Caenorhabditis elegans: one gene and its partner. The protein of the gene in region 1 interacts with the protein of each later gene in a pairwise test. Each region holds a gene or a part of one and is shown on either strand. Other genes may lie near its edges.

Region 1 (4,436 bases):
GACATTACTTGAATAACCCCATTAATTATACTTTCAACCAACTAATTAAAATTTAAATATAGTCCCTTTAGTTTGAGTTCTGTTTTTATTTTCTTTCATCGCACACATAGATATTCATACTCAATTTTTTTTTCTATTTCGCAATAATCATGTGAAAATATTTCCCATATGACAATAGACGATCTCTCACAACTATGACATTTCACTTTTTAGAAAAAAAAATCTCATTCTTGTTCAGATTATTTCTATCAAAATCTATATATTTATATATTTCAGAGGCCGTCGACGTCGAGAACGTGAATTTACACTTGCTAGAATTAATCATGAAGAAGGATTAAGTACAGATGATGAAGAACCAACTCCCCAGTCAATGAATGATCAAAAGATCTGTGATGAAGTGGAAGCAGTTGCTTCTGTTTTATTTGCAGATGCTCTAGATGAGTATTCTGATCTTCGAAAAGTTTTTGGACGGATGACGGATTGGTTGGCAGTTGATCCGAAGTCGTTTCAGGATGCTTATGTTTATTTGTGTATTCCAAAGTTGAGCTCTCCGTATGTTCGACTACAGATACTCAGAGCGGATTTTCTTAGAGTAAGTAATTTTGTATAGCTTTACAAAACAAAAAAAAAATTTCAGAAAGAAACAATCTTAACTTCTATGCAATGGTTCCATATCGCAATGCTTGCTGGCTCAGAAAATGCAGAAATTGATCAAAGTCATGAAATCCTAGTCGAGCTGGCGCCAGCCATCGTTGAAAAAGTTGTGATTCCATTTTTAATAGGTTTGTTTTTGAAACTTTCATCAAATTTTGGTGATTTTTCTGCTTTCCAAACAAAAATTATTTTTCAAAAACCATATTACAGATACCGTAAAAGAGGAATGGGATCCAATGTCTCTTCGACAAACTCGTCATCTCACAACATTTTGTTCACTTTTTGAAAAACTGCCAAATTTGACGGAAAAAAGCAAGCAATTCAACGCATTTCTAAATGCAATTCGAGAACGAATTTGTGATTGTATTTCTGAAGATCTTTTTATGCCAATTTTCATGCCAAATGCTCTTGAACAACCTATTTGTCGACAATTTCACGATCGACAATTTTGGACTTGTATTAAGGTAATACTTATCTTATCACTAAAACAATACAAAAACATCGAGAAAATTGGTTGAAAAAAAAGATAATTGATTTCCATAGAATTAAGGGTGTTGGATTTGAGAACGTTGAAAAATTTCCTTTTTTTAAAGATTTTTCGATTTTTCATAAACTTTTCCTTATTTTTTCTCTGAAAAACCGCGAAAACCCAAAATTTTTTGCCGACAGCTCTTTTCAGAAACTTTTTAGTACAACATAAATAGCTATTTTGAATATCTCGAAATATAATGTTTGAAACCCCTTTTTTCAAAATTTCCAAAAAAAAAATTACAGCTCATAAAATCGATAAATGCCCTCTCACCACTGATATCAATTGCCGCCAGATTTGAATTGGTTGTTGAAAAATGTGTCAACTCTCAATGTGTTATGGCTCTTCGTACTGGTTCGAAAAACGACGTGACTGCTGAACGAAAGGTTCGGGGATTGCTCGCCGAGCTTGATGATTCGCTTTTGAAAATGGGTGGAAGAACATCATTTCGTCAATTAATTGGAACACTCGAGCTAATTGCTGAAGAGCAGAGTAAAGCAGGAAGGTAAGTGACATGAAATCAAATTATTCATGAAAATAATTTATTTTTCAGGAGCTTCCACAAGGAGATTCGAAAGTTTTTGGAGAAACTCGAGCGGTGATTGATTTCTGAAAAAAAGCATAAAAAACCGGTTTCATCAATTAGTTTTTAATTTTTTTTATTTCCTTCTCTTTCTGTTCTGTCAAATTTACAAAATAATGAATTATTTATTTTATTTTCATTCCCATTCTATTCCTTATCAAAATGTTTTTTGATCATCGAGCTATTTTCTTGCCATTATTTTCATTTGCTTTATGTTTCAGTTGTTCAGATTTTCACAAAAGAAATCAATTTTTAGATGAGTACACTTGCTCAAAGATTTAGCACATTAGTGCGCATGTATGAAAAAACTGCGAATCGACAATTAGGAGAGCTGAGAGTTTTACAGAGAATAGCGTTACAAGGAGGACTCAGGGATACACCTGCGCTTAGAGATTCGGTCAGTTTTTAAACCACTAAAACGAAAATTTGAGAAAAAAAAAAGTTTTTAAAAACTCCCAGCTGAAATTATAAAATTAAATTGTAAAAAAAATTTCAGATAGCAGCATATGAAAAAGATTTGGAAGATGGATTACGTGGTATTCTCACAGTTCGTGGAGAGTTGCATGATTCACGACAAGAAAATGAATTTGATTCTATAATTGACCCTATCAGGTATTCCAAAATTATTTAACAAAAAATAGTTAGCTCAAATTTTTGCAGACAGCAAATTAAAACCTTGTTAAATGTGACAAGATCCCTACCCGCTGTCAATTTACCCGGATCAAATCCTTTTGAACAAGCAACAGAAGACGATAATCCATATGAAATGGAATCACGAAGGTAGGAAACTATCAAAGAATTTACAATAATTTTCATATTTCCAGATACCTCCGAGAAACAACGTTGAAAGACAATGAACTACGACAATTGGCAGATGATATGAAGGAACGGGCTGAAGCGACAGTGAAAATTGAAAAGGATATGGCTGATTTAGAGAAAATATTTCAAGAACTTGGAAGAATTGTTCACGAACAACATGATGTTGTAGATTCAATTGAGGAGCAGGTTGAAAGAGCAACTGAAGATGTTAAACGAGGAAATGAGAATTTGAAAAAAGCTGTGAAATCGAAAGCGGCGAAGGTATTGATTTTATTTGATTTTAAAGTTGGAGTATGGGGATTTTGCTTCAAAAATTTCTAGAATCGTCTCAAATTCAGAAAAAAATCCATAAATAAACAGGAACAAATTTTTATCGATTTCATGAGCTGCAAATTTTTTGTTAGAAATTTTCAAAAAAATTTTTTATTTTATTGAGAAAAATATGAACACTTTTAATATAGAAATTATTAAAAGTGGAGTACCGAATGGCATTTTGCTTTAAAATTTTGTATTTTGTATCGTATCAATTAAGAAAACCCTCCAAGAAAAAACGAAAATAATCACGAAAAATAATCCAAATTTTGAAATTATGATTTTTCATTTTTGGCTCTAATCTCCCGTTTGAAATTTCTCAAAAATTAAAGTTGCCACCAATCAGCGATTCGCTCCACCCACTTTTCCACCAATTAGACTGAGTGGGCGGAGTTCGAAGATGTTGATTGGTCGGGAAGTTCTCATTTTTGAGGAAATTCAAACAGGGAATTAAAAAATTGAAAAGTGGGATTTTTTCACTCTTTAGTGTTTTTTGTGCTTATTCTCTTTCTGATTTTTGAACTACTTCACCTTCAAAAATTGAATTTCAGGCTCCACTTTATGCCGGAGTTGTGGGTGGACTTGCAGTCGGAGGGCCTGTTGGATTGGCAGCTGGATCAGCTATTGCTGGAATTGCAGCTGGTGTCGGAGGTTTAGTCGCTAGTAAGTAAATAACAAAAATTAAATTAAAATAACAAAAATTAAATTAAATTAAAAATAAAAATAAAGTTTTTCAGCAATCTACACCGGGAAATTTTTCAAACGATCGGCCACGAGTGATTGAGAGTTCTTTATTCTATCTGTATAATGTACATTATTATTTTCATCATTTTGTTTCCATTTACTGTATTATATTATTGATAGAGATTTCCTAGACCATTGATTCGGGGTTATTTGCATGAAATTCCATCGTTTTCGGGATCATTTTTCTGCTATGTCAAAATGTAAATTAAATGAACAGCTTTTTTAGAAATACTTCAATTCTCTGGTTCTTTTCAAATTAGGTTGCGAAACCATTTTCTTATTTTTTTTCCTCGATTTTTCAAACAAAAGAAAACAGATATCCTAGATTTTCGGATTTTTTTTGAAATAAAAAAAAATCAAAAAAGTTTTCAGATGGCAGTTTTAATTGAAACTACACTTGGTGACCTTATAATCGATTTATTCGTGAAAGAACGTCCCAGATGTTCACTTAATTTTTTGAAATTGTGCAAAAAGAAGTACTACAATCTCAACCAGTTTCATAGTATTGAGAGAAATTACGTAGCACAGACAGGTGACCCGACTGGAACTGGAAAAGGAGGAGAATCTGTTTATAGGTACGATCATTATCCGTATCAGGGCTGAATTCAAAAAAAATTGTTTTTTTGCAAAAAGAAAAAATATGTTTAACTGAACAAGAAAAAAAAAAGTTTAAAAAAATAATTTCGAGTGTAATTTTTTGGAAAAATGTCAAATTAAGAATATTTTGCATCGTTTTGTTTTCAAAAAAAGCGAAAAATACTTTTTTTCGGCAAAAGTGAAAACAAAAAATCTACA
Region 2 (7,741 bases), 3.3 Mb from region 1:
GCGAACATTGCTGCTGAAAATACGAGAAAATTAGAGGGAAAAATGGCAAAAAAAACTAGAGAAAATGAAAATTTAGAGCCGTTGCATCATTATTATGAAATTTCAAGCTGAAAAACCGGTTTTTGAGCAAATTTTCGCCCAATTTCGAATTTTTCAGCTGAAAACTGAGCTAAAATGAGCCAAAAAACACGATTTTCAATTGAAATTTCGAGAAAAAAAAAGCTAAAAATTGAATTTTCGAATAATTTGGGAATTTTGGAGCTCCGATGCGTAGAAAACAAATTTTTGCATGAAAAATTGCAATTTTCTGCGAAAAATCAAGAGTTTTCCAGGAAATATGTCCAAATTCCGCTGAAAATTTAAATATTTTCGTAAATTCGAGAGAAATGATGCAAATTTCATAAAAATGTGCTCCAAATTGGAAATTTCACGTTTTTTTTCCGGAAAAATCGATTTTTCACCAAAAATTGAAAATTTTAAGCGAAAATTGAAGTTTTCCTACATTTCAAAGGTTTAAATTGATTTAAATTGAAAAAAAATCGAATAAAAATTGGAAAAACTGATGAATCATAAAATTGCGAAATAATAATGAGGGGGCAGGCGACCACTTGGAAATTTAAATTTACAATTCTGGAGGGGCAAAAAATGAGAAAAATCAGTTCATTTGAAACAGGAAAGCGGAAAAAATTTTAAAAATTTTTGAATAAATAAATTAAAGCAAGGCAGTATTTACACAAGAAAATTCGAAAAAGTGTGCGTCGATTTACGCAGCTCGTGTAGTCCCCGAGGAGAAGATTTTACAGTTTTTTGGCTTAAAAATGCTTGATTTTCGCTATTTTTCTATCAAAATTAACATTTAAACCGGTTATTTATAGCGTTTTAAGTGAAATTTGAGCGATTTTAAAGTTTTCACCGACAAAAAAAAACCGTGAAAATAGCGAAAATGGCTCAAAATCAACCATTTTAGCAAAAAAAAGTACTTGATTTTGAGCCATTTTCGCAATGTTCACGGTTTTTTTTTTGGCAAAAATCAATGAATTATTTTTATTTTTAACTTTAAAAACACTCAGATTTCACTTAAAAGTGCATAAATAACCGCTTTGAATGTTAATTTTCAAGTAAAAATAGCGAAAATCAAGAATTTCAGCGAAAAATCGTTTTTTTTTTCACCGAAAAAATCAGTAAAAATGCAAAAATGGGTAATAATGCTTGATTTAGAGCTATTTTCACGGGTTTTTCGCTTAAAAATCACCGCTTTGAATGTTAATTTTCAAGGAAAAAATAGCGAAAATCAAGCATTTTTAGCCAAAATCTGTAGAATCTTCTCCTCGAGGAGTACACGAGATCTGCGTAAATCGACACAAAAGAGAGCAATTAATCATCCCATTCATCATCATCAGCTCCTTCTTCACTACTTGAATCATCATTTCCCATAACTTGATCCATTCGTCTCTTCAATATCGCCGCAACATTATTCGCCTCGAGAGCAGCATTCTCGGCGGCTTCTGCCTCGGCTCTTTGCACTTTTTTCAGCTTTATTCCAGATTGAATTTGAGCCAAAAGATCACTTCGAGCATCTGGTTGTTTTGGAGCAACTGGGGAATTTGTGCCAGCAGCTTCACCGTCCGCGGATGGCTGAAAATTTCAGTTTTAGTGGGAGAAAATCGATTTTTTGATGAAAATTCGGCTATTTCTCTTGAAATTTGTCCCTAAAAAAGCTTCAAAAAAGTCCAAAAAACACAGGAAAACTACACATTTTCAGCGGGTTAGACACACATAGAGCCCTGCTGTTCCAGCGCCTTTACCTTTGGAGCCGGAGCTGCAAATGACGCTGCAGCCGAGCTTATAACCATTGGAGGTGGTGGTGGAGGTGGTGGAGGGATCTGAAAGGGATCGAGAATTGAAGAAAGAAGCGGAAAGTGGACAACAATGAGGGAAACACAAAAATGGACAAAAATTGCAAATTTTTAACTGAAAAATTCGGGGTTTTAAGCTTGGAAATTGCAGAAATATAGCTTCAAATTAATTTTATGCACTACAAGAAATCTTGGAGCTTTTCACAAATTTCCAAGCTTTTCCAAGCTGTTTCAAGCTTTTTAAGCTCATCGAAGATATTTCAAGCTCAGTCAGGCTTTTTTAGCTTTTCCAGGCTTTCGCAAGCTTTTTCGAGCTCGTCTAAGCTTTTTGACGCCTTTTCCAAGCTCTTTCAGGCTTTACAAGCTGTTTCAAGCTCGCACGAGCATTTTGAAGTTTTTCCAGGCTTTTTTAAGCTCTGTAAGCTTTTCGAAGCCACTATCGTTCTCTTTCAAGCTGTTTCAAGCTGTTTAAGCTCATCGAAGCTATTTCAAGCTCAGTCAGGCTTTTTCAAGCTTTGTCAAGCTTGTTCAAGCTCCTCCAAGCTTTTTCAAGGCGTTTCCAAGCTTTTTCAGGCTTTTCCCAACTCTTTCAGGCTTGCTCAAGCTTGGTCAAGCTTGTTCAAGCTCCTCCAAGCTTTTCCAGGTTTTTCCAGGCTTTTTCAAACTATTATAAGCTCGTTAAGCTCATTCAAGCTATTTCAAGCTCTGTCAGGCTTTTCCAAGCCTTTTCAAGCTATTACAAGTTCGTTTAAGCTCTACAAGCTTTTCCAGGCTTTTTCTTGCTCTTTCAAGCTTTTCCAAGCTTGTTCAAGCTTTCTTAAGCGTTTTGGAATCTTTTCCTGTCTTTTGCAGGCCTTTTCAAGCCTTTTCCAGGGTTTTCCAAACGTTTTCAAGCCATTTCAAGGTTCTCCAAGCTTGTTCACTATTTTTTCAAGCTCTTTAAGCTTCTCCAAGCTAGTTCAAGCTCTGTCAGGCTTTCCAAACTTGTTCAAGCTTTATCGTTCTCTTTCAAGTTCTTCCAAGCTAGTTCAAGCTCTGTCAGGCTTTTCCAAGCTTTTCCAAACGGTTTCAAGCCGTTTCAAGCCTTTCTAATAGAGTTCAACCAATTTTTCGTGATTTCGTGGCCCAAATGAACAAATTAAAGCGAAAAAGCGAGATTTTGCCTGAAAAAGGCTTAAGGCTTCTAAACGCTCATAATAACTTAGAATAATAGAGACTTTTCACATTTTCTAGTTTTTTCAAGCTTTTCCAAGCTTTTTCGTCGTGAAAACGGACAATTTAAAGCAAAAACGCAAGCTTTTTTCCTCGCAAAAACCAAGATTTTACTCCAAAATCTCCAAATTCTCTCGAGCTCCAAAACGTACATTAGTCGGCGGAGCAGCACTCGGCTCGACAAACTGTATCGTCGACGGAGCTTCTGCTGGTAACTGATGTACAATTGATGTATTCATGAGAAGCGGTGGTGGTGGTGGTGGAAGATCATCATCATCATCATCAATCGATAAAATTGACATATCCGGTGGTGGGAGGTGATCCAGATTCACTGGCGGCGGAGCTTCAGTCGGACGTTTAACATTCGGAGATCCACGAGCTGCTGCTGGAGCACCACCTCGTTGTTGGCTCGGATGCACATTTTGTTGAGGATGATGGTGCATTGTCATTCCGATTGGGGCAACCATGTTGGAGGGGTGCTGAATTTATCAAAAATTGGGAGATTTTCAGTGGAAAAAATCGTTTTTTTCTTCAAAATTACTCCCAGAGAAGGATATTTGGGCTTAATTATCGATTTTTCAGAGTTTTTTTGTCATTTGGAGCATGAAATTTCTTAAAAATTCACTGAAAACTTCCAAAAAACTCGAGTTTTCAGCCTCAAAGACAAGCCAAAATCAATGAAAAACGTTTTTCAACAGAAATGTTTCACTTTTTCACTAAAAATATGCTGAAATTGATAAGTTTTTTTGGAAAAATCCCTAGAAACCGTACAAATTAATTATAAAAACCCTATAAAATCGAATTTTTCAACGAAATCCTCTAGAATCCATAACTTTTCAGCTTCAAAATTATTTGTTCCCATTGAAACTTTCGACTTTATAGGATTTTTATAGTTAATTTGTAGGGTTTCTAGCGATTTTTCCAAAAAAAAAATTATCAATTTTCGCATATTTTTAATGAAAAAGTGGCACTTTTCTGTTGAAAAATTATTTTTTCTAAGGAATTTCCCACTAATTTCATTGATTTTCGCTTGTTTTTCGGTGAAAACTCGGCTTTTTGGAAGTTTCTAGTGAATTTTTATGAAATTTCAAGCCCCAAATGGCTAAAAAACCCAAATATTGGCCCAAAATAGAGAATTTTTGCCTTCTCGGGGAGCACAAGAGCTGTGTAAGCGCTGAAATCTCGTTGAAAAGTTGATTTTCTTTTTAAACAATAGAAAATTCACTTTTTCAGCAAAAAACTCGATTTTTTTTCAAATTTTTGGGCTCAATTATCGATTTTTTCCGATTTTCAACGGTAAAAAATCATTTGAAGCGGAAAAGCTGGGACTTCGTTGAAAAATTCGATTTCATAGTTTTTTTGAAGTTAATTTGTAGGGTTTCTAGCGATTTTTCCAAAAACTTATCAATCTTCGCAGATTTTAATGAAAAAGTGACTTTTTCTCATTGATTTTGGCTTGTTTTTTGGCGAAAAAGTGCATTTTTAGGAAATTTCATGCTCCAAATTACTGGAAACCCATAATTTTGCCCCAAAATAGAACATTTTGGCCTGCTCGGGGAGCACAAGAGCTGTGTAAGCGCTGAAATCTCGTTGAAAAGTTGATTTTCTTTTTAAACAATAGAAAATTCACTTTTTCAGCAAAAAACTCGATTTTTTTCAAATTTTTGGGCTCAATTATCGATTTTTTCCGATTTTCAACGGTTTGGAGATTTTCTCTTCAAAAAATCGAAAAATCTCGCGAAAATCTACCTGATTTTTAAAGTTAAGCTGAAGCCCGAGAGCCTGCGGAGCCTGATATTCCTCCGGGAACGAGAAAACTTCATTCTGCTGATTAATCCGTGATCCACTAATCTGTCGATTCCTATGCTGCATATCATTATAGGCCGTCGTGCCGAGAGGGCCTTGTCCAGGCTGCTTCCGCCGCTTTTTCGGGCTTTTACTCCCGTCGTTCGGGCTTTTTACCCGTCTGGGCCGTTCGGCAACCTCTTTTAGTGTCTCCTTTTTCCATAAATCGAAGAAAAACGAGGGATTTGTGTAGAGAGAGAGCGCAGGGATTTCAGAGTCTCTATACGGATTTAGAGCATCAAGATCCGGCGGTGGATCACATTTTGCATATATTTCAGTCAATGCTGTAGGTAAAGTGCTTCTATCCAGAATATGTTGATCTACAAGCATTGAACTTTTGAATGCTTTTCGCATATTCGCTTCATTCAACGTTGCTTGATCGGAATTTGAATCCAAATCTTCAACTTTCTTGTGCAATCTATCAATTCTCTGTTGAAGAGTGTTCGATTTGTGATTTATTATCATTGCGTCGTGATAAATCTCTCCGAAGATGTTCTCAGCGTGCTTACTGCAAAAAAAAATCGATAAAATTCCAGTTTTCCGACCTAATTTCCCACCTCAACGAGCTCAATTGTCGTACTAAATTGGCGATTGTCCCATTAGCAGTACATTGAAGCTCATCACGATGGATTGTTGATGGAATTGTGCCTCTGCTGAGGTTTACCGGTGATACCGCCCGTTTTGTTAGAGGCATTGCTGAAAATGTGCAGAAATTGCGGGATTATGTGGGTGGAAATTGCGAGAAAGCGTTAGAATTCACAGAAGATGACTTGAAATCGAAAAAAAATCACTTTCTTCCCTGAATAATATGTAAAAATCCATGGATTTAATGGAAATTGGCACGAAAATCGTGAAAAAAATTAGTTAAACATAAAAATTCACTGGAAACTTCATAAAAGCGAGCAGCCAAAATCAATGAAATTAGTTGGAAAATTCCACGAAAAACTCTAATGTTAATGGTAAACACGAAAATGCACTGGAAAAATTATAAAATTGAGTTTTTTAAACAGAAAAGCCACTTTTTTAATAAAATTATGCTGAAATTGGTAACTTTACCGGGAAAAATCGCTAGAAAACATATAAAATTGCTTCATTTACATGCTAAACCCACAAATTCACTGAAAAACTTATAAAACCTAATTTTCCAACGAAATATCATAAAATACATAGTTTTTCAGCTTCAAAATTATTATTTCTGTCAGAAAATGTTTTTTTTCATCGGAAAAACTGCAAAAAACGAGGAAAAACCAATAAAATCTCATGTTTTTCAATTAAAATATCATTAATCCAGAAATGCGCCAAGGTGCACCCGGGATGCGTCAGCAAACACTCACGAGAAGTGCGCAAGCGAGCGTCTGCACTCTCTCGAATACATACAGTGTCTCGCTGTGATTCATCGGAAATATTTTCATTTCCGGAAATGTTTTATATTTATTTAAATATTAATTTTTTTCGGTCTAAAAAATGATATACAAAACAAAAAATCGATACAGGAAAATGCGAAAATAGAATGAGATTGAAATTTCAATATTTACTGTTCAAAATATTCAAAATATCGTGAAATGGCGAGGTTTCGGAGAGATGGTCCTTTTTATTTATCAATGAAATTGTTCTAATTCTGAGAAAAATAACAAAATATAGCTAAATTCTCAATTTTCGCCAACTTGGTTGTGTCACAGAAGCTAAAATTCATTTCGAATACCGAGCCCGTACAGTAGTCATTTAAAGAATTACTGTAGTTTTCGCTACGAGGTATATTTCGCGTCAAATTTGTTACGTAATAAGCATTTCACTTTCCCAACAATTGCCGATTTCTTCTCCAAAATATCCCTCCCGTAAACCTACACAAAATCGACCGTAGTGCGGCACGTTCGCTGCGAGACCCGCCGCGCGTTTGGCCTCAATCTTTTTAGGACTGCCAAATTCGATCGAACATTTTTAGTCTGTCTTCCACGCGGAAACACACTCGTTTTTCTTCAAAAAAAAATCTATCATGGCTTCCCAAGGATTCTCCGTCTACGGTAAGTATAGTAATAAATCGGTGGTGAAAATTAAATTTAAATTTGTACAAATTTTGAATATGATACAAAATTCTCAAAACTTCTGAAACTTTCTCACACTTTTCTTCGATGAACTTTTCTTCGACTTGCAGAAAGTATCGATTTCTGATAATTGTTAGCGTTTTCCGATCGGCCTTCGTTCTCTATGGTTCATTCGTGTTCCTTGACAACAAATCCCGATATTTCAGGTAGTCCCCTTCCACGTGTATAAGTATAACTGAGTCTACTAACTGAGTACCCGGGACCCCACACGGATCGCCACACAATTCTGGAAATGGAGACGCCGTTCGACCACAAAAAGTATGGGTGAAGAGACTTTTCGCACTGTCATGGTCTCCGTAGTCTAGGACTAGGATAGGGTGCATTTGCTCTGTAACAGTGCATTGTGAGAGTTTGTAACTTTCTATATATAGGCCAAAACCTACTATTACCCCCGTTTTGCTAATCGATTTTTTTCTAGTTGGAAACGTTCCATACCAAGGAACTGAGGAGGAGATCGGAAACTACTTCGCCGCCGTCGGACATGTTAACAACGTCAGGTAAGAGAACTCAGAAACTCAGAAACTCGGAAACTTTCGATTAAAACCTTGTCAAAACTAATCAATGTCTTCCAGAATCGTGTACGATCGTGAAACCGGACGCCCACGCGGTTTCGCATTCGTCGAGTTCTCCGAGGAAGCCGGAGCTCAAAGAGCCGTCGAACAACTTAACGGAGTTGCCTTCAATGGACGCAACCTTCGTGTCAACTACGCCAACAAGTAAACTGAC

The links.
Region 2: the proteins of syx-17 (region 1) and wve-1 interact in a two-hybrid assay, tested with the Caenorhabditis elegans proteins (one large-scale study listed by BioGRID).

Annotation. Positions count from the first base shown.
Region 1 is NC_003279.8:8,642,438-8,646,873, forward strand, and holds syx-17 (t-SNARE coiled-coil homology domain-containing protein), read left to right. Parts: upstream 1-2,022; 5' UTR 2,023-2,061; coding exon 2,062-2,163; intron 2,164-2,262; coding exon 2,263-2,378; intron 2,379-2,426; coding exon 2,427-2,546; intron 2,547-2,590; coding exon 2,591-2,846; intron 2,847-3,448; coding exon 3,449-3,560; intron 3,561-3,634; coding exon 3,635-3,681; 3' UTR 3,682-3,867; downstream 3,868-4,436. Other genes in the region: mog-7 (GCF C-terminal domain-containing protein), read left to right, coding at 277-592, 638-782, 865-1,118, 1,429-1,688, 1,737-1,785; Peptidyl-prolyl cis-trans isomerase sig-7, read left to right, coding at 4,014-4,216.
Region 2 is NC_003279.8:11,923,901-11,931,641, forward strand, and holds wve-1 (Wiskott-Aldrich syndrome protein family member), read right to left. Parts: upstream 5,617-7,741; 5' UTR 5,608-5,616; coding exon 5,471-5,607; intron 5,422-5,470; coding exon 4,818-5,421; intron 3,548-4,817; coding exon 3,221-3,547; intron 1,884-3,220; coding exon 1,806-1,883; intron 1,636-1,805; coding exon 1,375-1,635; 3' UTR 641-1,374; downstream 1-640. Other genes in the region: fdps-1 (Farnesyl pyrophosphate synthase), read right to left, coding at 1-8; R06C1.4 (RRM domain-containing protein), read left to right, coding at 6,907-6,934, 7,434-7,512, 7,588-7,735.